Linked DNA regions of Lepisosteus oculatus. The protein of the gene in region 1 purifies or fractionates together with the protein of each later gene. This does not show direct contact. Links are inferred from orthologs where the notes say so. Each region holds a gene or a part of one and is shown on either strand. Other genes may lie near its edges.

What was found.
Region 2: the proteins of chek1 (region 1) and hax1 purify together in Homo sapiens (affinity purification with mass spectrometry; 3 studies listed by BioGRID and IntAct, with this or other methods). This does not show direct contact. The link is inferred for Lepisosteus oculatus from reciprocal best matches to the Homo sapiens genes CHEK1 and HAX1.

Annotation. Positions count from the first base shown.
Region 1 is NC_090718.1:15,708,415-15,723,407, forward strand, and holds chek1 (serine/threonine-protein kinase Chk1), read left to right. Parts: upstream 1-7,805; 5' UTR 7,806-7,872; exon of another isoform or gene 7,873-8,239; 5' UTR 8,240-8,264; coding exon 8,265-8,329; intron 8,330-9,110; coding exon 9,111-9,334; intron 9,335-9,508; coding exon 9,509-9,573; intron 9,574-9,901; coding exon 9,902-9,971; intron 9,972-10,162; coding exon 10,163-10,351; intron 10,352-10,774; coding exon 10,775-10,879; intron 10,880-11,077; coding exon 11,078-11,173; intron 11,174-12,178; coding exon 12,179-12,287; intron 12,288-12,594; coding exon 12,595-12,772; intron 12,773-12,987; coding exon 12,988-13,119; coding exon of another isoform or gene 13,120-13,143; exon of another isoform or gene 13,144-13,182; intron 13,183-13,559; coding exon 13,560-13,661; intron 13,662-13,791; coding exon 13,792-13,887; 3' UTR 13,888-14,901; downstream 14,902-14,993. Other genes in the region: prdm10 (PR domain zinc finger protein 10), read left to right, coding at 123-278, 406-585, 750-860, 982-1,182, 1,846-1,989, 2,460-2,615, 3,162-3,302, 3,861-4,044 and 2 more. UniProt on the Homo sapiens protein: Serine/threonine-protein kinase which is required for checkpoint-mediated cell cycle arrest and activation of DNA repair in response to the presence of DNA damage or unreplicated DNA.
Region 2 is NC_090722.1:5,805,706-5,820,692, reverse strand, and holds hax1 (HCLS1-associated protein X-1), read right to left. Parts: upstream 6,817-14,987; 5' UTR 6,674-6,816; coding exon 6,603-6,673; intron 6,301-6,602; exon of another isoform or gene 6,211-6,300; intron 5,199-6,210; coding exon 4,987-5,198; intron 4,253-4,986; coding exon 4,119-4,252; intron 3,621-4,118; coding exon 3,554-3,620; intron 3,057-3,553; coding exon 2,935-3,056; intron 2,294-2,934; coding exon 2,179-2,293; intron 1,701-2,178; coding exon 1,621-1,700; 3' UTR 1,154-1,620; downstream 1-1,153. Other genes in the region: pro-interleukin-16, read right to left, coding at 7,901-8,055, 8,207-8,332, 9,216-9,456, 10,130-10,228, 10,634-10,826, 11,944-14,537. UniProt on the Homo sapiens protein: Recruits the Arp2/3 complex to the cell cortex and regulates reorganization of the cortical actin cytoskeleton via its interaction with KCNC3 and the Arp2/3 complex. Slows down the rate of inactivation of KCNC3 channels. Promotes GNA13-mediated cell migration.

The DNA.
Region 1 (14,993 bases):
GGTGTGGCTCAGATGCGCTTGACTGATGCGCTGCTTGTGACCTGTGCCAGCGCACGGTGCCCCAGGCTGCCTCGGCCTCTGCCCTGGGTGACTCTCTCGTGTCTCGCCTTTGCCCCCTGCAGGTGAAGAAGCACGTGCGCAGCTTCCACTCGGAGAAGGTCTACCAGTGCACCGAGTGCGACAAGGCCTTCTGCCGGCCCGACAAGCTGAGGCTGCACATGCTCCGGCACTCGGACCGCAAGGACTTCCTGTGCTCCACCTGCGGGAAGCAGTTCAAGGTGGGGAGCGGCAGTGGGGGGGCAGGGAGGCCTGGGGAGAGATGAGGAGGGGGGGGCTTGGGGTGGATAAGAGGACAGGAAGTGGGCCAGCTGGCAGCGTGACCCCTCCTGTTTCCCGTGCCCCCAGAGGAAGGACAAGCTGCGGGAGCACATGCAGCGCATGCACAACCCGGAGCGCGAGGCCAAGAAGGCCGACCGCATCCACCGCTCCAAGACGCTGAAGCAGAAGGTGCCGTCCACGGACTTCGAGAGCTTCATGTTCAAGTGCCGGCTCTGCATGATGGGCTTCCGGCGCCGGGGCATGCTGGTGAGGCCCCGCGGGCGTGTGTGCGTGTCTGAGGGGGCAAGAGGGCCTGTCGGGGAGAAGCAGGTTGTTTAAAATCCATCAACACCCCACATCTGCTGTGTCACGAGGGGAGGGGAGGTATGTGTCCGAGAGGGTCCCTGAAACTCCTGGTGTCGCCCCTCCAGGTGAACCACCTGTCCAAGCGCCACCCCGACATGAGGATCGACGAGGTGCCCGAGCTCACCCTGCCCATCATCAAGCCCAACAGAGACTACTTCTGCCAGTACTGCGACAAGGTGCTCTCTCGCGGCTCTGTCCCTCTCTCTCTCTCTGCCCGTGTTGCGCCGAAGATCCCGGAGTCCGGAGTGGCTCCGGAAGCAGTTCTCCCTGCTCGTCTGACTGTGGCCTCTCCGGCAGGTGTACAAGAGTGCCAGCAAGCGGAAGGCCCACATCCTGAAGAACCACCCCGGCGCCGAGCTGCCCCCCAGCATCCGCAAGCTGCGGCCGGCCGGCCCCGGGGAGCCCGACCCCATGCTCAGCACCCACACGCAGCTGACCGGCACCATCGCCACCGCGCCAGTCTGCTGCCCACACTGCTCCAAGCAGTACAGCAGCAAGGTGAGGGCCTGCAGCCGGCTCGGGAGGCATCCCCCTCCGGCCTCCCTGCTCCCGGCTGGACGGTGTCGGGAGGCCAGGAGGCTCGTGCTCCAGTCCCAGTGCTGACACGGTCAGCGTCCTGCCGAGATGGCTACACCGCCAGTCCGGCAGTGCGCCCTGTCGCCCAGACATGGCGAGACCACGAGTCCTCGTTCCCGTCTCCTGACCGTGAGCGGCGCTGCCGGCCCACCCAGGCCTTGTTCTCCACACCCACCCCCGTTCGAGCGCAGGAGCGCCTTGTTTCAGGTTTAAGTACTTGCCCACGGATGGCGTGGCTCGCAGGGTGTGCAGGCAGCACAGATTTTAAGGTACCGAATGTGCCCCTTGGGCCTGCGAGCTGACCTGTCTGTGCTTTGCTGAAGGCTGCAGCTCGCAGCCACTGCCCTGCTCTCGGCTCGCACCCTTGTGCCCTTTGCCAGCGGGAGGTGGTTGAGTTGATTGCGCTCCGCTGTGTGGAGGAGTCGGGATCAGTCCACCCGGGTCTCCACGCAGTCTCGGCGGGCCGTCATGAAATATGTCATCAACCCGAGAAGCTCATCCTGGGAATCTGCGTCCTGAATGGCTGGAGCTGGAGACGTTCCCTCTGACCATGCCTGTCTCTCTCCGTGTCCTCCTCTCCCGCAGACCAAGATGGTCCAGCACATCCGGAAGAAGCACCCCGAGTTTGCACAGCTGGCCAACACCATCCAGACGCCTCTGGGCACGGCCATCATCAGCAGCACGCCGGCCGTCATCACCAGCGACAGCTCCACCACAGAGGCTGTGGTGGTGAGGAGGGGGGGGGTCACACACACACACACACACACTGCTGGCTGTCAGCTCATCCGCTTCCTAAACAAAGGGATGTTAATTAAGAAATGTCAATTCAGGGAGTTAAAATGATCAGCCGCTGGAGTAAGTTACTTCAAAGAATTTTAAAAAACAACTCGTTTTCGTTTTCCAAAAGACTGAGCACCTTATCAGACGATTTTAGAGCAGAGATCAATATCTAAGAAGATATAGAGTCGTTTGATTTCCAAGTAGCGTGAATGACTGTATTGTATATCGTCAGTACAGTATTCAATAGTGTCCGCGACTCAAGATCTCGAGTATTTCCCGGTTCCTTACAGTCCGTTTCAGACAGACCGTGTCGGTACTCTCCCAGATGGGAACCGCGTGCACGAAACTGAAGTGAGGAAGAGTGGAGGGCTGCAGCTCTGCGTCTCTCGCCTCTGACTGTGCCTCTGTCTCCGTCCCAGACCACAGACCTGCTGACGCAGGCGATGACGGAGCTCTCCCAGACCCTGACCTCGGACTACCGGACGCCCCAGGGGGACTACCAGCGGATCCAGTACATCCCCGTTTCCCAGGCCCAGCCGCAGCACATCCAGCTGCAGGTCGTGCAGGTGGCGCCGGTGAGGGGCGCTCGCCGTGACCCGCTGCGGGGGACACTGTTCTGGGCCCCTCCAGCCCACGGAGCTGAGGCTGCAGCTGGGAGAGGTGTCAGTGGGGCCAGCAGGGGGCGCTCCTGATGGGCCATTGTTGTGATGGCACCTTTTTGCAGTATAGTGTCCCCGTCCTTCAGATGAGACATAAAACCGAGGTCCTGACTCTCTGAGGTCATTAACAATCCCGGGGTGTTTCTCGAGAAGAGTAGGGGTGTTACCCCAGTGTCCTGGTCAAATCTCCTCCTGGCCTTTACCCATCATGGCCTCCTAATAAGCCCTGTCTCTGAACTGGCCTCATCGCTCTGCTCTCCTCCCCACTGAGAGCTGGGAGAGGGCTGGAGCATCATCCAGCTGGGGCTGCACACTGGTGGGGGTGGAGGGGATCCCCATGACCTGTAAAGGGCTTTGAGTGGAGGTCCAGAGAAGCGCTATAGATGTATAAGGAGTTAACATGCCGCGCAGCCTGTTGGTAGTTTTCCTCTGAAGGTTTGCACCCTGTCTTCCCCCCCCCAGGCGTCCTCTCCGCACACCTCCCAGCATTCCACGGTGGACGTCAGCCAGCTGCACGAGCCCCACGGCTACACGCAGCACTCCATCCAGGTGCAGCACATCCAGCTGGCCGAGCCGGCCGGCTCCGCGCAGGGCTCCGCGCAGGTAACCGGCCCGGGCGGGGCCAGGGGGAAACTCGCACCTTCCCGCTGGGATTCGGGTCCTCTTGCGAGAGGGGTGCCTCGTGGGTGTGCCCCTTCTGTGTCTTTTCAGGGCGGGAGGTTGGCTGGTCTTTCCGATGTCGTTCGTCCGCGATGCAGCTCGTGTGGTCTGGGAGTGCCGGGGCTTGGGTGCCGAACGTCGGCAGTGAACCCAGCCGGGAGAGACCAGTGTGGCCTCGCAGCAAGTGGAGAGAGCAGCGTTTTGTAATCTGAAGCCAGAGCAGGGCAGGTCATGTGCTGGGAACCGTTGTCATCGAAGTTTCTTTGCTGAAGATTCACTTATGGCTTTAAAGCATCTTCAGTTTGTGCTGCTCTTTTATCAGATGAGTACCGTGTCAACTGGGGCAGAAATTGGGACAAGAAACCCTTGATACAAAGAAATGTAAAGATGTTTGTGTGCATGATTAGAAAAGCTGTGGTTAAGGGTGTTCAAGGGAGCCAGGTCCTGTTCTCTTCAGGATTGGCCAGCTCGTCTAAAGACTCTTCTCCCTTTTATTCCCAGGTAGCTGGGCAGCCACTTAGCCCCTCCTCCCAGCAGGCGACGCAGGAGCTGAGCCCCTCCCAGTTACAGACCGTCACCCCGGTAACCCTGGCGCAGAGCCACACCCTGCAGACACCCTCGTCTCAGCAGCAGGGGGCAGTGCAGCACGCCTACCTGCCCAGCAACTGGAACTACAGGGGCTACTGTGAGTGACTGGGCTGGACATATTCGTGTTTCATACAGAGGCCCCCAGCCCTGGCCCTGGAGGGTGGGTGTGGTTGCCGGTATTTGCCTGTGGGTGATCACTCCCATCCCCTCCGCTGCTGTCGGGACCCAGAAACCCTGCAGGACCAGGACTGGAGACCCTGCTATAAGCACACGCATGTCATGTGCTCATACCATGCACTCCGTGTTTGTGTGCGGCAGTGCTCCAGAGTCCGGAATACCGTGTAGAGAGAGAATGGGGAGAGCAACACGCTGGTCATAGTTTTCACGACCCGAATGAGCCCTTTTTCACTGATCGGCCCCTGGGATTAGAAAATATCTCTGTGTTCCAGAATGGACAGCTGGCTCCGTTTTATGAAAAAGTGCTGAAATACCCTGCCTCTGTTTCCTAAGTGTAGTGGCAGTCTGTGTCTTTTTCGAAAGCTGTATGGCATCTTCGAGATCGTGACTTGTAGCTGGGGATGTCCTCCCCACCTGCTGAAGCACACTTTCTAGCATGAGTCCCTCTGTACCCCAGCTAGAGATCTTCTCGCAGTGAAGACGAGCCAACAGGATTGTCCTCGGGCTCGGTGTCGCTCCCAAACCTTCCCTGTAATTTGAAGAATGTAACTGGACTGAGAAACCGGAAAAGATCTTGGGCCGCCCTGTTGGTTTTCCCCAGTGCTGATGTACATCTTGTCATCTTTGACCGGTGCTGACCGTACTCGATACACATTGTGCTGTTGGTCGAGGGGGTGAAGAGAAGGTCGGTGTCATTCAAAGCCCTGTTCCAGGCTTTTTACATTCCTCTCTCGTTCTTCTGTCCAGCCTCGGAGATCCAGATGATGACTCTCCCCCACGCCCAGTACGTGATCGCCGAGACCGGGGCCCCAGTGAGCGCGGTGAACAGCGGTCAGGTCAAAACCATGTCCCAGGTCAGGAGGTTTCGGCCTGTTGACATCCGAGCGAGTCGGGGGGGGGGTGGTCTTCTGTGGAAGGTGTCCCTGTCACAGCGATGTCACTCGAACGTGCAGCAGGTTTCTTACAAGTCGGTGGCTCCGGAGGGTTTGTCAGGTATTTGGGTTGTGTCCCCCCGAGACGGCTGTTAAAATCGGAGGCCTCCTCCTTGCCCTTCTCCGACACGCTGGCCTGCGGAGAGCCCCGCAGCGCCTGAAGGAGGGTTGGCACCCAGTGGAGGAGCCCTGTCATCCTGTCCCCATCTCCAGGGGAGGGGATGACTAAAGAACCGGGGCTTGGTTAAAAAAAGCCTTCTGTCTGGCCTGGGGCACAGCGAGTGACCCCTAAACGGGCTGTCCTGCTGTGCAGCAACATCCTTCAGCCCTGAGCTTCCTGCTGTGGGCCTCGCCTCCCGCTCCTCGCTGACGCCTGTATCGCAGGCACTCCCTCTGCAGTGTGTGCAGCTCTCGGCGACAGCAGGGTACGGCAGCAGGCCTCGGTCCGGGGCGCCGGCAGCAGGGCGCTGGGAGTCCCGGTCACAGGCGCCAGGTGTCTGGACTGTGCGGCTCAGGCTTTTGCTTGAGACGGCTGTCTGACCCCCCCACCCCTCTTCCTGCAGACGCACTACGTGATTTCGGAGGGGCAGGCGGAGCTGGACCCCAAGCAGGCGGCCGTTCCCCAGAGCAGCGCCCCCGTGCACCCCGACCAGCTGGAGCCGCAGCAGCAGGCCGCCGCCCAGCAGCCCGCGGCGCAGTACATCATCACCACCACCACCAACGGCAGCGGCGCCAGCGAGGTCCACATCGCCAAGCCCTGACCCAGGGCGCAGGGCAGGAAGAACGGGACGCTGGGTTCCAGGGATAAAACGCATCCGTGCGGCTTTTTCTGTTGGAGGTTCGGTGTAATATATTAGAGCTTTTATTTTCTTAGAAGGTCAAGGTTGGACGTTTTCTGTGTCCGAGGGCTGCGGAGAGCCGGAGTGAAGATGTCGCTGCGGTAGACTCCCCCCTCCCTCCTCCTGCGCCCCGAGATGCCTCTCGCCTGCAGACACCCCCAGGAGCAGAGGGGGTGCGTTTTGCCCTGTTTCTGAGGGGCTCCCCGTGCAGGGTATGGAGAGGAGGAGCGCGTGTCCTGTCCGAGCCTCTGGGGCGCAGAGAGCGAGCGCCCTTGAGCTGCCCGGAGCCCCGCCTGCGGCCGGCGACCACCGGGGGGCTCTCGCTTGCAGACGGAGCGACCCTCTTCTCCATGGTGGTCTTCCCGCGGCGCGGCTCGTTCGGCTCTGTGGTCGCGCTGGGCGCCGTTGCCTAGCGATGGATTCTCATCTCGGAGACGGGACGCCCTGCAGGCCGCAAAAAGAGGATAACATGATTTTGTTTGTTTTTTTTTTCTTCTTGAAGACCTCCTAACCTGAAGGGACTTGTATAATGTAAAAAAAGAAGTTGTATTATTATGGGACAAACCCGGGACTTGTGTACAGTGAATTCCATTGTGGCTCTGGTAATAGTCGTCCTGTTGTGATCGGGGGAGGGGATGATTAAAGAGAGAAGGCTTTTTTAACTGAACCCTGGTGTCTGGCCTGTTCTCTGCCCTGGGGCACAGCGGGTGACCCTACAGCAGCTGTCCTGCTGTGCAGCACCATCCTTCAGCCTTCAGCTTCCTGCTGCTTGCTGGTGGTTCGTTGCCTGGGATACAGGCATTTCAGCTTTGTGTTCAGTTCCCCGCAGACGCGATGTAGTAAGTCTACAGGCTGACATGGTGCTTGCCATGTGGGAACCGACGGGACCCGCTGCGGTCCTGTTCCTGCCAGTCCTCAGCTGGGAGTCCTCTGTGAGCGGAGGCAGGCCGTGGCTGGAGAGGACTTCCCAACAGATCCCCCAGAGAGGGTCGGGGACACTGCTGCGGCCGGCGCCATCGTTCAGAGAGCCGTCAAACAGTCCTGCCTGCCTGGCCCCCATTGCCCCCATTGTTTTCATCACAATCAGGAGTTCAAGCACCGAGTTTGTTGGTACCTGTAAACTTCCTTGTAGATGGTCACGTGATTACCCGAAATCAAGGCGCTATATCTCGGAAACGAAAGCAGCACAAACGCTAATTACAGCAACACAAACCGTCGTTTGTGCTGTTCGACGGGCGGGTGGGAACCTTCATGGAGCAGGACAAGCAAACATGTCTGGGTCAGTACATCGCAGACTGCATAAGACTCGACTTCACCTGAGGATCTAACACAGGCGCCCACACCTGTGTCTTCAGGGGGCAGGTGTGCCCTCACGCTGTATTCTACACCAAGACTGGCCGGAAACACGAAGATACAAGGACTGTGAGCTCATCGCTTCATATTTGCGCATAAGACTCCTGTAAATACAAACACACGGCTAATGAGTTTATTAAAAAATGCAGATATAAGTTCGCTTCTGTTATGTGAAAATAAAAAACATGTTTCCAATATTGCCATGGTCCGCAGACGGGGTCACTGGAGGTCAAAGGCACCGTGCATGGTCACTTGATCACAGGAAAAACAAGGCGCTATATCTCGGGAATGGAAGCAGCACAAACGCAGCACTAACGAATGAGACCGGCCCGGTTTCCCTACGACATTATAGGGGGGCTGATTGACGTCACGACCCCGAAAAAACACATCTCGGAAACGTGTACTAGTGAACAAAGCGCTATTTCATTCGCTTTTGAAAACGCTGCGCTGTCACCCAACAGCAAGATGGCGGATTAGAGTCGTCCCGCTGACGTCATTCGCATGTCGCCCATCTCCCCTGCTGCCGACGTCAACAGGAAGTGCGTGAGCCCAGAGCGGAAGGAGCGTGGAGGAGATTTGAGACCGGAGCGCGCCAAAGCGCGGCCGTGCAGTTATTTCGGAGGGGTAAACTGATTTTAAAAAAATCCGAAATACGGGCAACGATCGCCTTGGTCTGCCGTGATGCGGACTGCTGCAGTCTGTCGAGAAGTTGGGTGCGAAGCGCAGCGCCTTTTCGATCCGAGTCAAAGGCGTTTCTAAAAGCTCCCTGCTGTGCGCCGCGGCCCGGACGGGCTCTTCAGCGTGTTCCAGGTGTCCCTGTGTCGGTTCTGGTTCCGAGAGGACCGGAGCCCGGGGCGGGTGTCGGTTCTGGTGAGGGTGCTGTCTTGCCGGAGCCGCAGTGGCCGGTGTGTCAGGGGTGCAGCTGTGTGTGATACCGCTGGCGCCTGTAGGTGCTCTGACTGTCTCTGCTCTCGTCTGGCCGGGCGAGCAGGTGTGTGTGTCCCTGAGCCCTGGACATGGCCGTGCCCTTCGTGCAGGACTGGGACGTGGTGCAGACGCTGGGAGAGGGGGCTTATGGAGAGTAAGTACCGCGCCCTGGCTCGCCGGGGGCCTGATGTGCCAGCAGTAACTGTGAACGCCTCAGGCCGGTGTCCATCGATGGTCCTGCAGGCTGTCGGACCTGCGGACTCACTGACACTGCAGGACTGGGGGACTTGTTTTCAGCCCACATTGGGATTTGAAATGTTTCTGTGTCCAGCCTGTGGTCAGTGAGCCTGTGTTCTCTGTACAGCCAGGTCTGCCTGTGTCCAGCCTGTGGTCAGTGAGCCTGTGTTCTCTGCATGGTCGGGTCTGCCTGTGCCCAGTTTCTGTGGCTGGGTGAAGCACTGTTGTCCAGTGTGTGTTGTGTGTGCGTGCGGGAGGCAGTGCTGTCCAGTGTGTGTTGTGTGTGCGTGCCGGAGGCAGTGCTGTCCAGTGTGTGTTGTGCGTGCGTGCCGGAGGCAGTGCTGTCCAGTGTGTGTTGTGCGTGCGTGCCGGAGGCTGTGCTGTCCAGTGTGTGTTGTGCGTGCGTGCCGGAGGCTGTGCTGTCCAGTGTGTGTTGTGCGTGCGTGCCGGAGGCAGTGCTGTCCAGTGTGTGTTGTGCGTGCGTGCCGGAGGCAGTGCTGTCCAGTGTGTGCTGTCCAGTGTGTGTTGTGCGTGCGTGCCGGAGGCAGTGCTGTCCAGTGTGTGCTGTCCAGTGTGTGTTGTGCGTGCTTCTCCTGATCTCCGACTGGCCTGGGCTGCAGGAGCAGCTGGCGGGGGGAGGGGGGCTCGTCTCGGGCTCAGCGGGGCGACTGGTCACCCGTGTGCTCTCTGGCCGCCAGGGTGCGTCTGCTGGTGAACAGGCAGACGGAGGAGGCGGTGGCGGTGAAGGTGGTGGACACCTCGCGGGCGGCCGACTGTGCGGACAACGTCAAGAAGGAGATCTGCATCCACAAGATGCTCAGCCACCGCAACATCGTGCGCTTCTACGGCCACCGGCGTGAGGGGGACACGCACTACATCTTCCTGGAGTACTGCAGCGGCGGCGAGCTCTTCGACCGCATCGGTGAGGCGCCCCTCCTGCTCCTCACCCTCCTCACCCTCCTCTCCCTCCTCTCCCTCCTCACTCTCCTCACTCTCCTCACTCTCCTCACTCTCCTCACTCTCCTCTCCCTCCTCACTCTCCTCACTCTCCTCTCCCTCCTCACTCTCCTCACCCTCCTCTCCCTCCCTCCCTCAGAGCCGGACGTGGGGATGCCGGAGAGAGATGCGCACAGGTTCTTCCAGCAGCTGGTTGCCGGCGTGGTGAGTCTGTCCTTCAGCGCCGCGCTGGTGGGGTGTCCCCGGCTGGGCTGTCTGGTCCGGGGGTCCCCCTTCTTCCTTTTGCCTTCGTTTGGGTGGGGGGGTCAGCGGCTCTTGTGTGCCGAGCCAGCGTGAGAGGCGTGCTGAGCGATCACAGCGATCCCAGCAGTCCTTGCAGCGATGGGGGCCGTGCTTGAGTGTCTCGGGGGCCGCAGGTTGAAGAGGGAGGTGCGTCTCGGGGGCCGCGGGGCGGAGAGGGAGGCGTCACTGTGGCTCGTGGACTCCAGTGCGCTGGGATAACTGTGTGTGTGTGTGTGTGTGCGCTCCACAGGAGTACCTCCATGGAATAGGAATCACTCACCGGGACATCAAGCCGGAGAACCTGCTGCTGGACGACAGAGGTGAGAGCTGGGCTGGGTCCTGACAGTGTACCGACCCCCTAATCCCCCCCTGTCCCCGGCCTGTCCCCGAGAGGCGTCCAGCCTCTGGTGTGGCTCCTGCTGGGCAGTGTACAGCCTGATTTGAAGGCTGTGAGTGGACGCGGGGCGTTTTGGTGACACTGAGATGGTTTCCTCCGTCCTCTTGGCCCCAGACCAGCTGAAGATCTCCGACCTCGGCCTGGCCACCATGTTCCGGCACCGCGGGCGGGAGCGGCTTCTGTCCCGGCTGTGCGGGACGCTGCCCTACGTGGCTCCCGAGCTGCTCTCGCGGGCGGACTTCCACGCGCAGCCCGGGGACGTCTGGGCCTGCGGCATCGTCCTGACCGCCATGCTGGCCGGGGGTGAGAGCGCGGGCCTGTGTCAGGTGCTGCCGTCAGGGGGACAGTGGAGTCGGGGGGTCCAGTGTGTGTGTGTCCCGGGGGGGGTCCAGTGTGTGTGTGTGTGTGTGTCCTGGGGGTCCAGTGTGTGTGTCCTGGGGGGGTCAGTGGGACAGTGGAGTCAGGGGTCAGTGTGTGTCAGGGGTGACTATGTGTGTCCCGGGGGGGTCAGTGTGTGTCAGGGGTGACTATGTGTGTCCCAGGGGGGGTCCGGTGTGTGTGTCCAGGGGGGGTCAGTGTGTGTCAGGGGTGACTATGTGTGTCCCAGGGGGGGTCCGGTGTGTGTGTGTCCCGGGGGGTCAGTGGGACGGCGGAGGCTCGTCTCCCCCGGTGGCACTGCAGTGCTGCCCTCTCAGTCTGACGCGCCCCGTCGCTGTGCCGCCGCAGAGCTCCCGTGGGACCAGCCCAGCGAGACCTGCCAGGAGTACTCCGACTGGCTGCAGGGGAAGACCTTCCTCTCGCCCTGGAAGAAGATGGACGCGGCCCCGCTCAGTAAGGCTCTTCTGTCTGCCCGCCCTGAGAGCTGTCGAGGTGGTGGAGGAGTTTCATCGTTCTCAAAGTTTATTGTGTCTTAATACTTTTCTGTCAAAGTCCTCGGACTACTGCGCAGTTGCGTTACGGGGTGGAGCCTCCAGTGAACCCCGGCCCTCAATCCTGGGGGGTGTGCCCCCTGTCTCTGCTTGACCGCAGGCCTGCTGACCCGGATCCTGCTGCACGACCCTGCCAGCCGCATCGCCATCCCGGACATCAAGAAGGACCACTGGTTCACCAGGGGCTGCAAGTCAGGTGCGGTTCCGATCGAGAGGGTGACTTCAAGAAAACAACCTCCTTTGAAAGTTTTTATGAGGCACTTTGTGGGGAGAAGTTGCCCAGTGCTAGTAATGGTGTTAATTGTAACTCCCTACACTGCTATAGCGCTTCTCTGGACCCTCCACTCAGAGCTCTTTACAGGTCGGGGGGATCCCCTCCACCCCCACCAGTGTGTACCCCCACCTGGATGATGCTCCAGTCCGCTCCCCACACACCAGCTCTCAGCGGGGAGGAGAGCAGAGTGATGAGGCCAGTTCAGAGACGGGGGTTATTAGGAGGCCTTTTACAGTGTAGTGTCCCCATGACTATACAGGGGCATTAGGACCCACACAGACCCCAGGGTGAGCGCCCCCTACTGGCCCCACTGACACCTCTCCCAGCAGCAGCCTCAGCTCTCCCAGGAGTCTCCCCTCCAGGTACTGACCAGGCTCACACTGCTGAGCTCCAGTGGGGCTGCCAGCCGGGAGCTGCAGGGTGATATAGGTGCTAGCAAGATATATCAACATATTAATGTCCAAAGTAGCAGAGCAGACACTTTTAGGAGAAGAAAAATTTAACTCAAGGCTGTTGACATTTTATAGCATTTTATAGTATAGTATTTTATAGCAAAGAAACACATACAAATCTTCTTGAGAAACACCCCGGGATTGTTAATGACCACAGAGAGTCAGGACCTCGATTTTACATCTCATCCGTCACTGTACTGGGGCATTAGGACCCACACAGACCCCAGGGTGAGCGCCCCCTGCTGGCCCCACGGACTCCTCCCCTCCAGGTACTGGCCAGGCTCTCACTGCTGGGCTCCAGTGGGCGGCCAGAGATAGAGCTGCTGACCTCTGCTCCCAGGAGCCAGGAGGGGCACGCTGACCCGCTCTCTCCAAGCGATCCGGTTGTGTTCCCGTCCTCTGCTGTGGCTCTGCTGCTCCGGACCGGCTGTGCTCCGACCGCGACGGGGCGGTGACGCGCTGTTGTTTTTTTCAGGGGCGCAGCGGCCTCCTCTCTCCTCCGGGGGGCAGGGCGACTCCCCGGGCCTGGGGCACAAGCTGTTGCGCTCGGACTCCGAGAGGGTCCCGGTGGGCCGGGCCGGCAGGTCAGTGTGGTGGCGTGGCGAGGCGCGGCGCGTGGTGGGGAGGGCCATTCTCCCCCCCGGGTCCTGATGGGCCACTGCAGCTGAGCTGTGTGTTTCCCCACATACAGCATGTGAAGATGGTCTCTAATTCTCACTTATCAGAAGCCCTTGCTTTGCAATCATTGTGACTGTGGCCAAGAAAAAGCTACTTATTTGTTTTTACAGCATAATAATAATCCCTTTCACTAGTATAGCGCTTTTCCGGACACTTCATTCAGGAGACGTTTCTCTCTCCTTTCCTTCCCTGTCCCTCCGGTGTCCTCCTCAGTGAGGACAGGGTGCAGTTTTCGAGCTCCCAGCCCGAGCCGGTCACAGGCGCGTCGTCCTGGGAGTCCAGTCCCGGGAGCATGCAGGCCATGGTGCAGCAGATCAGCTTCTCCCAGCCGGCCTGCCCGGAGCACATGCTGCTGGGCAGCCAGCTGCTGGGAACGCCAGGGTCCAGCCAGGTGAGGTCTTCAGGGGACACCCGGGTCACAGCACACGCCGCCCAGGGGACGGGCGCTCTCGCAGGGGACACCCGGGTCACACCACACGCCGCGCGGGGACGGGCGCTCTCGCAGGGGACACCCGGGTCACAGCACACGCCGCCCAGGGGACGGGCGCTCGCGCAGGGGACACCCGGGTCACAGCACACTGTAGGCATGATGTCTCTCTCTGTCAGACCCCCTGGCAGCGGCTGGTCAAGAGGATGACGCGCTTCTTCACCACGCTGGAGGCAGAACAATCCTGCGCTACACTGCGCAAGGTCTGCCTGCGCATGGGCTACACCTGGAAACAGACCTGCACCAATCAGGTACCGAGGGGGGCGGGGCTGTAGCTGCACGGTGCATTCAGGAAACAGACCTGCACCAATCAGGTACCGAGGGGGGAGGGACTCTAGCTGCACAGTGCATTCATTTGATAAAAATATGAAATCAGAATTTTGCTGTACATCTTAATCTTAAAATAGTGATGATTTTTCCTAAAAGACTGTTTTTTAATGCAGTCACACCTTCAGGTAAATAACACACTGGTAGAAATGGTGTATGTGATTCTGATGCTGGTGCTACAAATGATCTTCAGTATAATGTCATCACTTATCACTGTGATTGGCAAACACAAAGTGTCAACACCATTTATCCTTGCCTGGATGCTGTCAGGGCTGGTTAAGGCTGGTGTTATCTAAACATGTCATGAGTGTTGAAGCATGGTCACATGACCTTGCGTCCCGTGTCGCATCACTCTGTCTCCTAGGTAACCGTCTCCACAATGGATCGCCGTAACAACAAGCTGATCTTCAAGGTGCATCTGCTGGAAATGGAAGAGAAGATCCTGATGGACTTCAGGCTGTCCAAGGTGAGCTCGGACCCGGGCCGTGTGGCTCAAAGGGGCCTCTGTTGACTGCTCGCGGGTTGAGGATCTCTTCGCTCCTCGGTTCTGACAGTCTCACAAATGCGGCACTACGTTTCCCTCTCCCCATGTTCAGGGCGACGGCCTGGAGTTCAAGCGCCACTTCCTGAACATCAAGCGGCAGCTCAGTGACATCGTCAGCAGCCAGAAGGTGCTGCTCCCTGTCGCGTGAGGAGGCGGAGGGGGACACGTCCGCGACCGGCACCCCCCGACTCGCCCTGCCCCCCCCGGACTCGCCCGTTTCCTTTAACAGCAGTCATCATCGTTTTACAGCTCCTTGCTCCTGACTTCTGAAGCTGAGTGCTCGAAGTCTCCAGCTTCAGAAGAACTTTTGATCAATTAAATGTAAGAAAAGAACAGTAAGTAACTAAGAGCTCTGCAGGAGTGCGGAGGAGCCGTTCCAGCCTTGGCCGATCCTTGCTCGGGGTCGAGGGGAGGGCAGTGTCAGTGCAGGAGGGGTAACGTCAAGTTTGGGGTCCAGGCCAGGGGGACGTATCGTGCGCGGTGTGCTCGAGGGCCAGCTGTGAGGTTTTATTAGTGCGTCTCGTCGGAGGAGAAGGACAGTGCCGGAGTTTGTTGGCTGTTTAGTCTCGCCCGCTGGGCCGCTGGCCGCGGTATGGCGCGGGGACGGGGCTCCTGGGGGGCAGAGCCACTCAGGGCCGTGGTTTCGGCAGGCCTGCCTCTGACAGCGTGCGCTACCGCGGGTCGGCGGGCTGGGGCGCGTGCGGATGCCCTCTGCTTGTTGGCGCTCCACGTCAGCCGGGCTGGTTTAGCCTGCCCGTGTGCCTGCTGGCCGACGGGGTCGGGTGTGGTGTCCCAGCCGCGGAGCAGCGGCACTGTGGGAAGCGCGTGCCGGGGGGCGCCGTATCTGAGCAGCCCGATGCACGCGGTCTGGGGGGCCCTCTGGTCCTCCATCATTGTCCGCAGGAAAGTTCCGCCATGACGGCTCTCAGCACAGCTGCCTTTCCCAGCATGCTGCAGGGCGGCTCCTCTCCCTGAGCTGCCATAGGCCGCGTGATCCCCCTCGTCTCCAGGAACGTGTCTCCGGCTGCGTTCCACTCTTTGAGCTCACAGCACTAGGGACTCTCACAGTCTTGTACTAGTCCCAGATTCAGTTTGCTGAATGTTGTTCCTTTTAACAGGTGGTAGATTGTATTTGTGTGAAAATAAAACTTGAAGAGTTAAACTGGACTTGGACATGGTTTGTGCTTGGAGCTCGTGTGTGTCCGTGTGTGTCCGTGTGTGTCCGTGTGTGTCCGTGTGTGTCCGTGTGTGTCC
Region 2 (14,987 bases), on another chromosome or scaffold:
AATTCACAGCCAGTGAAAGACAGGTTCAGAGGAGTCAGGAAACAAGAACACAAATCTTTCAGAAGTACTCTCGACAGAACAAGAAATCGGTGGCAATGTTAAACAGGAAGAATTTTGAATGAGTTAAGATTAGCCACTGGAAGATCTTTTATGATGTGACAGTTTTGTACCTGCAGAGTTCCTTTGGCAGGGACATGCAGATCTGCCTCCCCGACTCATGAGCTAGACGTGAATGAGGTTCCTGAAGAAGACCTGCACTCGAGTCCCACCGAGCTGAGAGGAACGTCTGGAGACGAAGTCAGGACAGCCCCAAAGACGAATACGACCACACCTGCTTCATACCACATCCCACAGCACCTTCACCTTCCCTCCAGTCCTCCTCATCTTCATCGCAGGAACTTAATGACGGGTGAAGGAGGTTCCTCTGGCAACCCCAGGACCCAGGGATGATGACCTTGGTGTCCTCCTCTTGAACCTGTGCAGCTAGTTCCCCCTCCCTCTTCCAGATGTTCACAGTGCAGCCTGGTCCTGTGCTCACTGAGGTCCTCCATCCAGGCCGTGTTATGTCTTTCTTGACAACTTAAATAACGGCGTCCCAAACATTAAAAAGACCTTAGTCGGAAGGATACAAGATTATATACACATAGGACAAATTATATTTTATATTATATATAAACAGATTTGTATTATATAGACAAATCTATGAATTGGCTTCATTACTCTCCTCCCCACTGAGAGCTGGTGTGTGGGGAGTGTTCTGGCGCACTATGGCTGCTGTCGCATCATCCAGGTGGGGCTGCACACTGGTGGTGATGGAGGGGATCCCCATTACCTGTAAAGGACTTTGAGTGGAGTGTCCAGAAAAGCACTATATAAGTGTAAGGAATTATTATTATAATTATTATAGGAACAAAATGGCAAGCAATAATAAGATCCTTCATCAATAATAGTTCCTTGCACTTTATTTAGCACTTTTCTGGACACTCCACTCACAACGCTGTACAGGTAATGGGGTCCCCTCCACCACCACCAGTGTGCAGCCCCACCTGGATGATGCTCCAGTCCTCTCCTCACACACCAGCTTTCAGTGGGGAGGAGAGCAGAGGGATGAAGCCAGTTCAGAGACGGGGATTATAAAATGAAAACTCACGCCTTTCTCTTGCACTAGAAGCCACTTTTAATGGACGTTCCAGACATCATCCCTGATGCACAAAATCACTTCAACAAAAGAAGTTACTGCTATTCTGCGATTTCTGTACAAGCTATCCCGAAAAGAAGGAATCAATCTGTTTCTTCTTCTTTCAAACCCCCAGGTGTGACCGAATGAGAGAGGAAGAGAGTGATCACCCCACTGCGGGTGTGTTAATTGGCACGCATGTCAAAATAAAATCACAACTGGTCGAGGCCGTCAGAGGCTAGAAGGGCCGAGCCAGGAGTATTTTCAGTTTCCAGTTGCCTTATTTTTAATTAATTCCCAAGTCCAATCCCAGCTCCCCATGTCGTCACACACGCTGGGGAAAGGGAAAACTGTGAAGAGTCCAGAGCACGTTTCCAGCGGAAAAGCTCGAACCGACCCGAGCTCCTGCCTCCTCCTGCCCTCTTCCGGATGGTGCCGGCCTCCTACCGATCCCGGAATCCCCCGAAGAACCGGGAGAAGATGGAGGCATCATCCTGCATTCCTGAGGAGCCCGGGGACACGCCTGCACAGAACAGAGGACAGGCGGGATCAGGCAACACAGGAGAAAAACACCCAGACCCACCAGCCCGGACAGACGAGCCTGTGAGTCTGGTACCAATTAATCCGGGCGCTGAAAATGGAAACAGTGGGATCAGACTGGGAGGCTGACCACCCCTGTGCAGGCCAAACCCAACACCGCCGTTTCTGCCCTGGTGCGTCCTAGTGAACACTCCCCCTTTCCTCTGTTGCTGTCCCTGGGGCTCACTGAATCCTACTCAAGGCACCACTATGGCACCACAAGCTCAGCCTCTCGACAGCCACAGCTGCACGGCAACCCCACATCGCTGCCCCAGAGAGGACAGCAGGCCGGGGCAGGGGCAGGGGCAGGGGCAGGGGCAGGGGCAGGGGCAGGGCCACGTCCCCCGCCCCCCAACATCCCACACCACTGCATCGGCAGTCTACCCAGGGAGGGGTGGCGGTGGGGGGGGGGGATCACTGACCGGGCTCTGGGGGTCCCTGCTGGATCTGGGGGCTCCTGTCTGCCGGGCCGGAGCGGGTCACTGTAGTCTCCTCATTGCCCTGGCTGTCCCTCACTGTGCGCCTCTCCTCCACGGTCTGCAGACACATACAGATACAGTGCATCAATATACTATATTAATAATGTACTGTTCACAATATACTATATCAATACATCAATAGTGTACTTGTTACAATATGATATATTAATAATGTACTCATCACAATATACTATATCAGTACATTAATAATGTACTGTATACAATATAATATATTAATAATGTACTGTTCACAATATACTATATCAATACATTAATAGTGTACTTGTTACAATATAATACATTAATAATGTACTCATCACAATATACTATATCAATACATTAATAATGTACTGTTCACAATATAGTATATCAATACATTAATAGTGTACTGTATACAATATAATACATTAATAATGTACTGTTCACACTATACTATATCAATACATTAATAGTGTACTGTATATGATATAATATATAAATAACGGACTATATTAATAAAGACAGCAGCAGTGACAAGACAGGGACGGGCTCTTTCCTTGAAAGAGCAGCTGTACGTGCTGCACACGAGTCCTTTCAGCACAGTTACTAAAGACGGAAGCGAGGAGGTCTCTCAGACAGAGGGGGCACAGCTAGGGCTGGGTTCGAGACGCTCTGGGGTGAAAGGCGCTATACAAGACTGAAACAGATCGCCTGCCCTACCCCGTCGGGGGACACCACTTTGGTGACAGTGACGGACTTGAAGAAGGACTTGGACTTAGCCCTGGGCTGCGCGGGAGTCAGGATCTTCTCCAGCCCCTCCGAGGAAACCTGGGAGTCCAGATCTGCAGGGAGAGGGAGAGAGTCAGGGAGAAGAGGGAGAGGGAGCGAGGGAGAAGAGTGGGAGAGGGAGGGAGCGAGGGAGAAGAGGGTGAGTGAAGGCTGAGAGGTGCCTCGTGTCACACGGGCGGCGCCGCTTCTCCTGTGGCCCGGCTCAGGCCTGACCCAGGCCCGACCCACCCCGACAACAGGCGGCTGTGGCCAGGAGCTGAACGGGGGACGAAATGGGAGAGGGCCGGTGGTCATTTTTTTTCTTGCCCCCAGCTGGGGTTAGCAGCTGCCCCAGACCCGTCCTGTGGGATGATGTCACTGCGAGGGGCTGCAGTCCCCCCCCCCCCCGAAAAACCAAGAGAGGAGGAGACAAGTCTAACCACACCCAACCACACTCCCACTGCGACACCCGAGACCTGGGTTAGAACTGGCAACACCCACAGGCCTCGTGGGGCTGAGGGTCTCAGGGGCCCCCCCACCCCACCACACCACACCCCTCAAGGTCTCTTACCTCCGTCCTGCTTCAGGGGCTCCCCCTCTTCCGCCCTCCACAGGCCCCCCCGCCAGACGTCATCGAACTGGGAGAGGAAGAGGAGGGAGGCTTAGTGACCCAAAGCCCATCAGAACATCAGGGCTTGAAGAGGATTAATACAACAGGCACTCCGAAACGACTCTTCCTTCAGCACTGACCCCTGACCCCTCCGTCCGCTCATCCACGCACCCCTACTGCCCCCCTCCACCCCACCCCACCCCGCCCTGCCCTGCCCACACCAGCAGCGCTGCAATCGGGTGCAAGAGAGAAAAACCACAACATCCCCCTTCATCCTCACAATCACTTCGGATCGCAACATGATCATAGTAATTATTATTATCATTATCATTATTATTGAGGCTATTATTATTATTATTATTTTCTAAAGCACCTTTAAAAGTGGCTTCCCAGAAAAGACACACGCACAGAGAGGAGACAGCAGAACTGCGCAGTGACAGGGAGGGAGTGGAATACAGTAGGACAGCACAGGGGCAGCGGACACAGAGCCAGGTCGATCAACACCCTCCTGAAGAAGGGCTCTCACCTTGGAGAAGGGCCCTGAGGGGGGCTCCCTGTCCCCCTGGTCAGAGGACGGGGTGCTGTCGGGGTGTCTCAGCATGAAGTCCCTCGGAGACCTGCCGCGCTCCTGCCGCCCCGGCGCCTCGATACTGGGGATCGCTGGGGAGCAGAGAGGGGAGAGAGCATGAGGATCCGGTGGGGAACTAACAGGACACATCCAGGCAGCAGGAGGGAACAGAAGACACCTGCACTGTACAGGAACACAGTACAGTACGGGGTGCAGTGTGCTAGGAACCAACACATCACACGCACACGCATGAGCACATCCACACACGCTTAAGCACACCTATCCACTGGTTCCTCATCCATCCATTTTCTAAACACTTCAACCAATTCAGGATCATGGGGGAGCTGGAGCCTATCCCAGCAAGCAACAGGCAAGGCAAGCTACACCCTGGACAGGACACCAATCTATCAGACACACACACACACACACACACACCCTGGACAGCACAGCAGTCCATCAGAGGACGGACGGATGGACGGACAGATGGATACGCACACGCAACGGACAGGACACCAGTCCATTGACGGACACACAGCCACACCTTGGACAGGACACCAGTCAATCAGAGGGCACACAGACCCTGGACAGGACACCAGTCCATCAGAGCATAGACAGACACAGACACTCACACCAACGCCATGTCCCTCAGAAGCCAATGAACCTTCTATTGGGTGGTTGGACTGTGGTAAGAAACACACTCACAAAATCAGGGAGAACATGCAAACTCCTCCCAGACAGTACTCCAGGAACTGAACCCTGGGTGTTCACGTCTTTAAGGACTGCAGCACGCCACCCCCACCCGAAGGGGCGTCGCCAGGCGGCTCACCGAAGGGGGTGGAGCTGGGCAGGCCGTCCCAGCGGCCCACGCCGGCCAGCAGCTCCTCCACCTCGCGGAACAGCTCCCGGAACGCCGCCGGCTCCTCGAAGTGCATCCCGCCGGGGCCGAAGCTGAACCCGAACCGCAGCGCCTCCTCGTCTTCGCCCTCGTCGTCGTCGTCATCGTCATCATCTCGCGTCATGCCCTCGAAGAACGGGTCCCTGGAGCGCCAGAGGAGGGGGGGGGGGGGGTTGACAGAGAGATCAGCGCCGGCGTGTGGAGGGATTGTGGGATAGCGAGAGCACGGAGTTTACACCGGGAAGGCGAAAGGGGCGGCACGGTGGCTCCCAGTGGTCAACCCCGAACCCGGGGCACTGTCTGTGTGGAGTCTGCATGCTCTCTCTGGAGGCTCATATGGGTTTCCTCCAGGTGCTACGCTTCCTCTCGCAGTCTAAAGACATGCTGCTGGGCTCTGGGGCAAATCAGCCCTGGTGTCAGTGTGAGAGTCTGTGTGTCCTGCGATGGACTGGTGTCCTGTCCAGGGTGTGTGTGTCTGTGTGTCCTGCGATGGACTGGCATCCCGTCCAGGGTTTGTGTGCGTCCGTGTGTCCTGTGATGGACTGGTGTCCTGTCCAGGGCGTGTGTGTGTGTATGTCTGTGTGTCCTGCGATGGACTGGTGTCCTGTCCAGGGTGTGTGTGTCTGTGTGCCCGGCGATGGACTGGTGTCCTGTCCAGGGTGTGTGTGTCTGTGTGCCCGGCGATGGACTGGTGTCCTGTCCAGGGTGTACCCCGCCTCGTGCCCTTTGCTTGCTAGGATAGACTCCAGCTCCCCTGTGACCCTCCCTGTCCTGGATTAATCGTTTAGAAAATGGATGGATGGAGAAAAATGTGAAAGGACAGGAAACAAGGAAGAGGGAGACAGCAACAGAGGTGGGGAGAGGAGGAGGAGGAGGAGAGAAGAGAAAAGAGGCCGGGCGCCCTCTAGTGGCGGAAACTTTACCGGTGTGTTAACGTAGTAAAACATCAACAAGAAGCAACAAGCAAGCAAATATTTAAAAAAAAACAATGGAAAATAATTTAAAAAATGCAAAAAAGCTTTCTTCAAAGCGGCTCCATCGTGGTTTCTGAGTAACTGAAATGTTAGACGTCAGCTAAAACCTAATAAGCAAACGGCTAACAGCTCGTGGGGTGCTCAGTCTCTAATGGACTTGCTCAAGTGACGAGTGAATTACTCAGTTATGTAGTTATTCCCTTCCGATACTTCAGAGCGGAATTGTTCTCGGCAGTCTCAAAGTTATTTGTGCTACATAATTAAGTCCAGTTCCAGAACACTAGACGTACACAACATGAGCAATACTTTAAGAGTCTGTCGTCATCCTCGTCAGTAACGACGGAATTACCAGTATTAGGGTCTTGATAACGCACCGAGATGATATAACCAACAAAATGTCGTGTATTAGTTCACGTCGGAATTTGTAACTTTAGATAACCGGTATTTCCAGCCGTGGTTTCCCTTAAAAGCGCCTTTCCAGGCCGTTTTTAAAATATTAAAAATAACACTTCAAAAGTAAAGCATTTTCAAAACAGGGTAAACATCTGTTTGACAACTGCAATACTAACTCACCTCCGTCTATCTCCGGGGTAACTGCCTCTCGGGAACCCGAAAAAACCGCGAAACAAGTCAAACAAGCTCATCTGACAGATTTCCTTTTAAATAAAAAATCGTCTTTGTGGCTTAATACTTTATTTTGGCATAAAGCTCTTGCTCGCTTCTTCTTACAAGGACGCGGAGAAGGAAAACGAACGTGCCACACTGCCGTAACTGAACTTGGCCGTAATGACACACTGCCGGAAAGTGACGATTATTGCTGTAAGTTACAACGCGGAGGGCACGGGCGGTGTGTCGTAAACATTACAGCACAAAAGCAAGCTAGAGGCCGAGGGGGGGTGGTGTAGGAGTCAGCGTTATTCACAGTGCTCGAATCTGGTTTCTGATTAATCACTGGAGAAAAATCCCGACGTACCGCTTCAGCCAGCTCAAAGAAAAAAAAGGTTGCCTTACAGGCAAACAACCTGCTGTTCGTTCACAAGCATGTGCAGTGAAGAATGTGGCTGATTAATTCTCATTAAGTTTGAGAACGGACACGAGGCTTAGACTACAGCTGTTCACCACATTTGTACTGCACTGTACTGTGCTTTTACCCTGATCTCACTGGGCTTTACTGCACTGTACTGTGCTTTTAACCTGATCTCACTGGGCTTTACTGCACTGTACTGTGCTTTTACCCTGATCTCGCTGGGCTGTACTGCTCTGTACTCTGCTTTTACCCTGATCTTGCTGGGCTATACTGCTCTGTACTGTGCTTTTACCCTGATCTCACTGGGCTCTACTGCACTGTACTGTGCTTTTACCCTGATCTCACTGGGTTGTACTGCACTGTACTGTGCTTTTACCCTGATCTCACTGGGCTCTACTGAACTGTAGTTTGATATTCGTATAAAATGAACGTCGTAGATGGAGAAAAAGTAACACACAATCCAAAACTGAATTACAACACATTTATTTAAAGCAAGCACAAAAGTTTATAATTAAGATTTTGATTTTAGGGGACGTTAACAAGATATTATTAACAAGCCATTTTTTTTGTTTTTTTAAGATTGTTATACAAAATGTTAAAAGATGCTGAAACATGAATTGCTGCAAATTCTTGTCCCCCTCTTCATTCAGCTGCTCTGTGTAGCTTCCTGATTTTCTGCCTGTGTTCATGTCTGAATCTTATCACTGCTCTCTCTGCCCTGAATTCCTCTCTCTCTCTGTGCCCTGAACCCCTGTCTCCCCTCTCTCTCTGTGCCCTGAACCCCTGTCCCCCATGTGCTGGTTACAGGGCCAGACAAGCTCATCCCTCTCTCTTCCTCCTCTCCCTACAGTCTGCAGGGGCGCTGCAGTAACACCTCCACCGGCCCAGGGGGCAGCATCTTGATCCAGTTCCAGGCCTCCAGCCTCCTCAAGCCCCGCAGGCTCCGACCTTTCACCTCCAGGACCTCGTCTCCGGGGAGCACCTGGTCGACGGGGCCGCCTGGGAAGACGGGCAGGAGACAGGGAGACAGGAAGACAGGAAGGAGGGAGGGAGGGCAGGTGAATAAAAAGTGGGAGGGCCAGGAAGGGAACATGACAGCAGTGCGCTAAAGTGACGCTCGGGAGCCTGACGTTGCCCGTCGGCGTCTTACCTGGGAAGACCTTCTTGACGGTGAGGGGCCTGTCCCCCTGGTTGGACCCGCGCCCCCCCTCCAGGCTGAAGCCCAGGTCCGAGGAGCTCTTGGTGAGGATCAGATGCACGGTCTTCCCTGGCTGGGCTGCAGGGATGAACCACAAGGAGGCCATTACACTCCTGCCATTACACATCCTGTGGTAATATGACATCTATTACATAGTAATATGACATCTATTACACAGTAATAAGCCCTAATTCCCTCACCATATTACACTTTCCTTTATGCACTGAAGGGGGTAGCGTGGAGCTGCAGCTAGTGCTCTGAACCTGTTTTCAAAAGGTTGCGGGTTCAAATCTGGCCTGTCTCATTATGGCGCTGTACTATCCTGCCTTCACAGCCCTATCAGTGGGTACCCACACCAGTGGCTGGGGTGAACCCCTAAAGGAGGAAACCTGTACTGTTTATTCCACTGAACACCTTAGAAACGGGGATAAATCCTGTTTCTAGGAGCCACTTTGACCAGTGCGGGTCTCAAGCAAGAACATGCTTATTACACTGTCGTGCTCACTGTTACAGTGAAATGTAGTTACAACATAAATGATCATTCCTTGCGCTTTTCTGGACACCACTCAAAGTGCTTTACAGGTAATGGGGATCCCCTCCACTACCACCAGGGGACATTTGGCCTGGACACCAGGATTAACACCCCTACTCTTTTTGGAGAAACGCCCTGGAATTTTTAATGCCCACAGAGAGTCAGGACCTCAGTATTATGTCTCATCCGAAGGACGGCGCCTTTTTACAGTCTACATAGTGTCCCAGTCACAATAATGGAGCATTAGGACCCACACAGACCGCAGGGTGAGCGCCCCCTGCTGGCCTCACTAACACCTCCTCCAGCAGCAGTCTCCCATCCAGGAGCTGGGCAGACTCACACCTGAGCTCCAGTGGGCTGCCAGCTGCCATGCAAAGGAGCTGTGTGGGGCAGTTGGGTCCGCGGCCTGGTTCTGGTCTGGATACCCACCGTCACCCGTGGGGAGGCCGTGGGGCTGGGTGCCCTGGGGCTCGGCGGTGGCGGCGGGGGTGCAGGTCCCCTTCCGGAGCACCACGATGGCCTGCTCTCGGGACCTCGCCCTCCGCAGTGTCCGCAGCGCCTCCCAGTGGGCGGCCGCCTGCAGCGCAGTGCCGTTGATGGACAGCACGCGGTCGCCCTCGCGGATGGAGCCTTCCTGGGCCGCCAGGCCGCAGGGGAACACCCGGTGGACCTGCGGACACAGCCGGACGCTCCCGTTATTACGGTCCGGACCGGCCGTGCGCAGGGAGCTCACTGCCCCCTGGCCGGACAGCGGAGTGCCGAGCCGTGGACACTGCGGGGTGCGGGGGGGAACCACATCTGGGCCCAGATGCGAGACGTGACAGGGGACACAGCAGAAGACAAGAGACGGACGCAGAAGCTGGGAGACACTCTGACACAGAGTCACGCAGAAGGATGAGGAGACAGAAACAGTTTCCACTCATAGAGAGACACACAGAGACAGTGTCCACTCACAGCCATAGAGAGACACACAGAGACAGTGTGCACTCACAGTCACAGACAGACACACAGAGACAGTGTGCACTCATAGAGAGACACACAGAGACAGTGTCCACTCACAGCCATAGAGAGACACACAGAGACAGTGTGCACTCACAGTCACAGACAGACACACAGAGACAGTGTGCACTCACAGTCACAGGCAGACACACAGAGACAGTGTGCACTCATAGAGAGACACACAGAGACAGTGTCCACTCACAGCCATAGTGAGACACACAGAGACAGTGTGCACTCACAGTCACAGACAGACACACAGAGACAGTGTCCACTCATAGAGAGACACATAGAGAGTGTGTCCACTCACAGCCATAGAGAGACACACAGAGACAGTGTGCACTCACAGTCACAGGCTTGTTCTGATCCACTCCCCCGGCCACGGTGAAGCCCAGCCCAGAGCCCGCCTCCTTGTGCAGGACCACCACCTGGATATCCTCACAGTTCTGAGAGCGAGGAGGAGGCAGAGACGGGGAGATGAGGCCAGAGAGTAGAGAGTGTGGGAACAGCAGGGAGAGAGAAAGAGAAAGTGGACATGAACAATTCTGTACAGTACATGCTGTGAGTCCGAGAATTTTCGTAATATACACGCGTGCAGTAATACTTTGTCTGATTTCTCACAAAATTTCTTTACATCCATGGAGATATGTTTTGCACACATAGAGAGACTTTCAAAAGCTCTCGGACGGCACAAATAAATGCTACATAAAAGACAACGTCCCGTGCCCAGTCATTGTGCTCCACTCCTGCAGGAGTCCGGGAATCGTGCACGTGCTCACGCACACACGTGCGCCAGTGCACCAGTAGGTGAGGCTTGTGCACGTGTGGGCGGGGACATGGGCGGGGCTTACCGCCAGGGTCTCCTCCCCCGCCGCCCTCACGTCGTCCAGCAGGCTCTCCAGCTCGTCGTGAGGGATGATGGACACCATGGACAGGGCGGAGGACATGCTGGAGCTCAGGGAGGCGGAGCGGAGCGACCGGCTGTCCTCCGCGTCGGAGTCGTCCCAGTCGTCTGCGCCCCCCAAGCCGCACAGGTCCGCCAGACTGGGGGGGGAGAGAGAGGGGGGCTGGTGAATAGGGCCGTGTGTTTTTCTCCCGTGCGTGACACGTTAAATGTCGTCAGGCGAGGGGAAGACACAGCACTACAGGAAGGGTAGCAGGTGCCTGGAACAAGCTGCCCAGCTGTGTTGTTGAAGTGAGAGTCCCTGGATCCTTCAGTAAATGGTTTGTCATTTTCTCACTGTTTCATCCAGTACAGGGTCACGGGGGAGTCAGAGCCTCTCCCAGCACTCACACTCACACTCACACTCACACTCACACTCATACACCAGGCCCAGTTTTCCCAGAAGCCAGTTACCCCACCAGCCTGTCTCTGGACTGCGGGAGGAAACCCACGCGGACTTGGGGGGGGAGAACATGCAAACTCCACGCAGACAGCACCCCAGGAATCGAACCCAGGTGTCCCGGTGCTGTGGAGCTCCAGTGCAAACCTCTGCACCACCCCGCTGCCCTAGAGCACTGCACCCCATACTGGATGAAAAACCCCTCTTTTTTCTTTTTCCCCGGTGGCTATCCAGATTGCGGATGACCGGGGGGGAGTGGGAAGCAGACATGCCCCTCTCCCGGAGCGGGCATCTCATCCAAACCCAAGCTGCCGGGATGATGATGAACAACCTGAAGTGGAAATCTAATAAGTAAATTGATTCTTAAAATGTAGAGAGCTTTGCAAAAAATATATTGGTGCTTTTAGATAATATATTTCAAGGATGTAACTGCTGTGCTACAGTACGTGCAGAACTTTAGAAAACAGTGCGTCAACAAAGTACACTGTTTAGGTTACTTTAGAAGACAATGTACCAAAACAATATATGCTGTCTGGGTCATTAGAATTAGCTGAAAGTAACTGATAAGCTTTGAATAACAAATCTAGTGCTTCTTCTCTCGCTCTATGATGTAATCCATTTTGTCTTAGGGAAAGGGGACGTTTTAGAAGGGACAAAGTGCTGAGCTTTTTTACAGCGCAACGTCTTATGAGATGTTTTCTTATTGCCGTGTGTGACACACGGAGCTCACAGGGGTACTGCCTTCAGAAACCAGACACCTTCCCCACAGCCTACCAGGGAACGAGCCTCTTCAAGACACCCGGCCCCCGGCCACTGACCTGACGGAGAAGCTGCGCCTGTCCGACTGGCTGAAGCTACTGGTTATCGTCAACGAAGAGGAGCCGGAATCCGAGCGGTCTGAATCCGTGTCGTGGCCCTCGGAGCTCTCGGAGCTCTCGGAACGGGAGTCTTCCTCCTCCGAGCTCCAGCGCCCCCAGGTGTCCCGGGATTCGGGGGCCGCAGGTGGCGGCAGACGGAGGCTCTCCCCGGTCTGGTCCGGGGGCCGTGGCAGTCCGGGGGAGCACGTCCGCGGGAACGGGGTTTTCCCGGGATGGGGCTCCCGGAGGAGGCCAGAGGGGACCAGGTCCGGGAGGTGACCCGCTGGCCTGGAAGGCGGAGCGAGGCCGGCGCGGGCGAGCGGACTGGGAGGCAGCCCGTTGCTGGAGTTGTTGTTGAAATTGCCTGCGATGGGGCCCAGGGGGAGGGGCCCCTCCACAACAAGGGGCGACCCGGGTTCGGAGGTGTCCTCCTGGGGGGCAGCAGCCGTCCTGCTGTCGGGGACGGTGGGTTTCGGGGCCGGAGAGTCGCACTCGTCCTCGGTGCCAGTTCTGGGACGGCTACCCCTGGGATCGGACCCCGCGGGTGGGCCCCCCACCCAGGGGTCTCCTCCTCCGGCTTTTTCCTCCCCGTCCGGATCTGCCGGAGGGTTTCCGAGTCGGGGCGCGCTGTCGAGCGACGCCGATCGGACCCACGCCGCCGCCCGCTCCTCGTCCCCCCTCCTCCAGGCGGGCCGTCCCCTCCGCTGGGGGTCCGCGCCGGGGGCCGTCTCCGAGAAGACCCGGGCGGCCCGCTGGAAGGAGGAGGATGGGCCGGGCCTCTGGTCCGGCTTCGGTGCCGGGCTGTCCTTCCGGTGGGCCAGGGTCTCAAAGCGATGGATCTTGTTCCGCACCGTCTCCGTGGAGACAGCAGTGTCCCGGAAATCCGGGCGACTCCCCCCTTCTCCTCCTCCTCCTCCGGATCGGGACTGGGATGGCTGAAACGTGGGGGGTCTCTCCTGGATCGAAATCTGTCTCCCCAGATCCGAGGCGCTGGCGTGGGAGCGATACCTGGATTCATCCCAGGGTTTCCTCGGCTGCTCTCTCTGTTGGGAGAGGACCCCGCTGTTGGGGCTGCGCTGGACCGCGGTCACCGTCCTGGTCATCGCTCCGGACACGGGGCCGCGCTCCCAGGAGGGGCCGTGTGTCACGGGTCTCACCCGGGCGGGGTAGGGGCCCCCCCGGTGTGTCCTTTCCAGCAGCCGGGATGGCACCCCGGATCCGAACACGGAGTCCCTGCTGCTGCTGGACGAGGACGAGGACGAGCAGGACGAGCCGGAGCTGCTGCCGCCGCCGGGCTGGAAGCCGCGCGCCGTCGGCGGCCCGGGACGCCCTGCGCCAGCCGGGATATTCCCAGGATCCCTCAGGCTCGCCCCCCGGCTGGGTTCCTGATCCCGAGCCGCGGCCTGGTCTGCGCTGCCCGGCTGGAGGCGTTCAGAGACGTAGTTTCCAGACGTCCTGCCCGCGCCCGGGCTGGCATCCTTGTCCTGGACTGCGCCGGTGCCGGTGGCGGCGCCCGGGTTGGGCGGCACTCGGGCGGGCCGGTCCTGCGCCGGCGAGGGTCCCCTTGCGTGGACAGGGGAGCCCCTGCGGGGAGCCTCCGCCATGCTGCCTCTGGCCACGGCTTCGGCGAAGGTGGGCGAGGGCCGGCGTGGGCCGGGGTCGTCCCTGCGGGCCCAGGCGGTGCAGAAGCCCGGCTCCGGCCTGATCCGGGCGGGGAGAGATTTCCCGCTCCTGGTCCTCTCCGCGACGATCAGGATCTTCTGTGCTCCCTTCCCCACGCTGCCCCAGAGCGGGCCTGGGGCCGCCCCGCCGGACTTCTGCTCCGCCCGGCCCGCGGAGGACACGTAGGCGTCGGCGCCGGCCTGGTCCGAGCCCCCACCCCGGTCCTGGTTCCTGGGCGGTCTCGGGGGGCTGGAGCCCCACTGGGTCGCCCCGGGCTTCCTCTCCTCTGGGGCGGCGGTCCGGACAGGTCCGTTGGCCTCCTTTTCGAACCCGGGCCCCGCCCTGCTGGACTCCCGCCAGTCCAGGCTCTTGCTACGGTCGTGGAAGTCCTGTTTCCAGCCGGGCCGGTCCACGCCTGGGTTGGCGGTTCCGGGGGTACAACTGCCGGACCCTGGCCAGAGGGAGCCGGTACTCTTGTTCCTCATCTGGGCGGCGCTGGTCTCCACCGGCGGTTTGGGGACCACCCTGGGGGGGAGGGCCCCTCCGCTCGAAGGTCCGGTTCTGGCTGCGCCTCTGGTCTCGCCCCCCCCGGACTCCGAGTTCTCCCTCCTCCGGCTCTCCCGCGGCGGAGAGCGGGGTCCCCCGGCCTCCGGGTCCCCCTCGAAGATGCTGCACAGCTCCAGCAGTCTGGGGCGCCTAATCCCCGAGACGGCCGCCGCGGACCGGCTGCTGGCGGGCCTGATGGAGAACCTGGCCGGGGGTCCCCTGCCGGCCTGCTCCTCGGAACTCTGGGGGGGGCGCCCCGGTGCGGGTCGGGCCGAGGAAGGTCCCGGGCGAGGGTCTCCAGAGGCGGGGCGGCCGGTGGGGGACCCTGGGACGGGCACGGAGGCCATCCTTTCAGCCCCCCTGGGTGGGAGGCGGGAGGCGCTCCAGTATCGGAATCGGGGAGAGGGAGGAGCCGCAGAGCTGTGGTCACAGAACAGGAGATCTTCTCCGCTGTAGAAACTAAAACGCTGTCGTTTCAGATTCCTTGCAGAATTCGAGGCAAAACAAACTTACTGCAGGCCTGTAAAAAAAAGCCTCAAGCCCCAGGGGGAAGAAAGGCGCTATAGAAAGATCTGCTCTGGGTTGCTGCGTTGCTCCGTGTCGCTCCAGAAGCTCGCCCGCGGCTCGGCTGGAATGCAGTCTGCAGAGAAAAGATGCTTTTATGTTCCCACAGGCTCCCACAAGCCCCGGAGTTCAGGACTGGGCAGCCGGAGTGCGGCCAGAGCCAGGCGGAAAGAGACACAGCCAGGAAAGCAGAATCGCAGAAAACAAAATTGAGGCTTATTACAGGCTCGCGT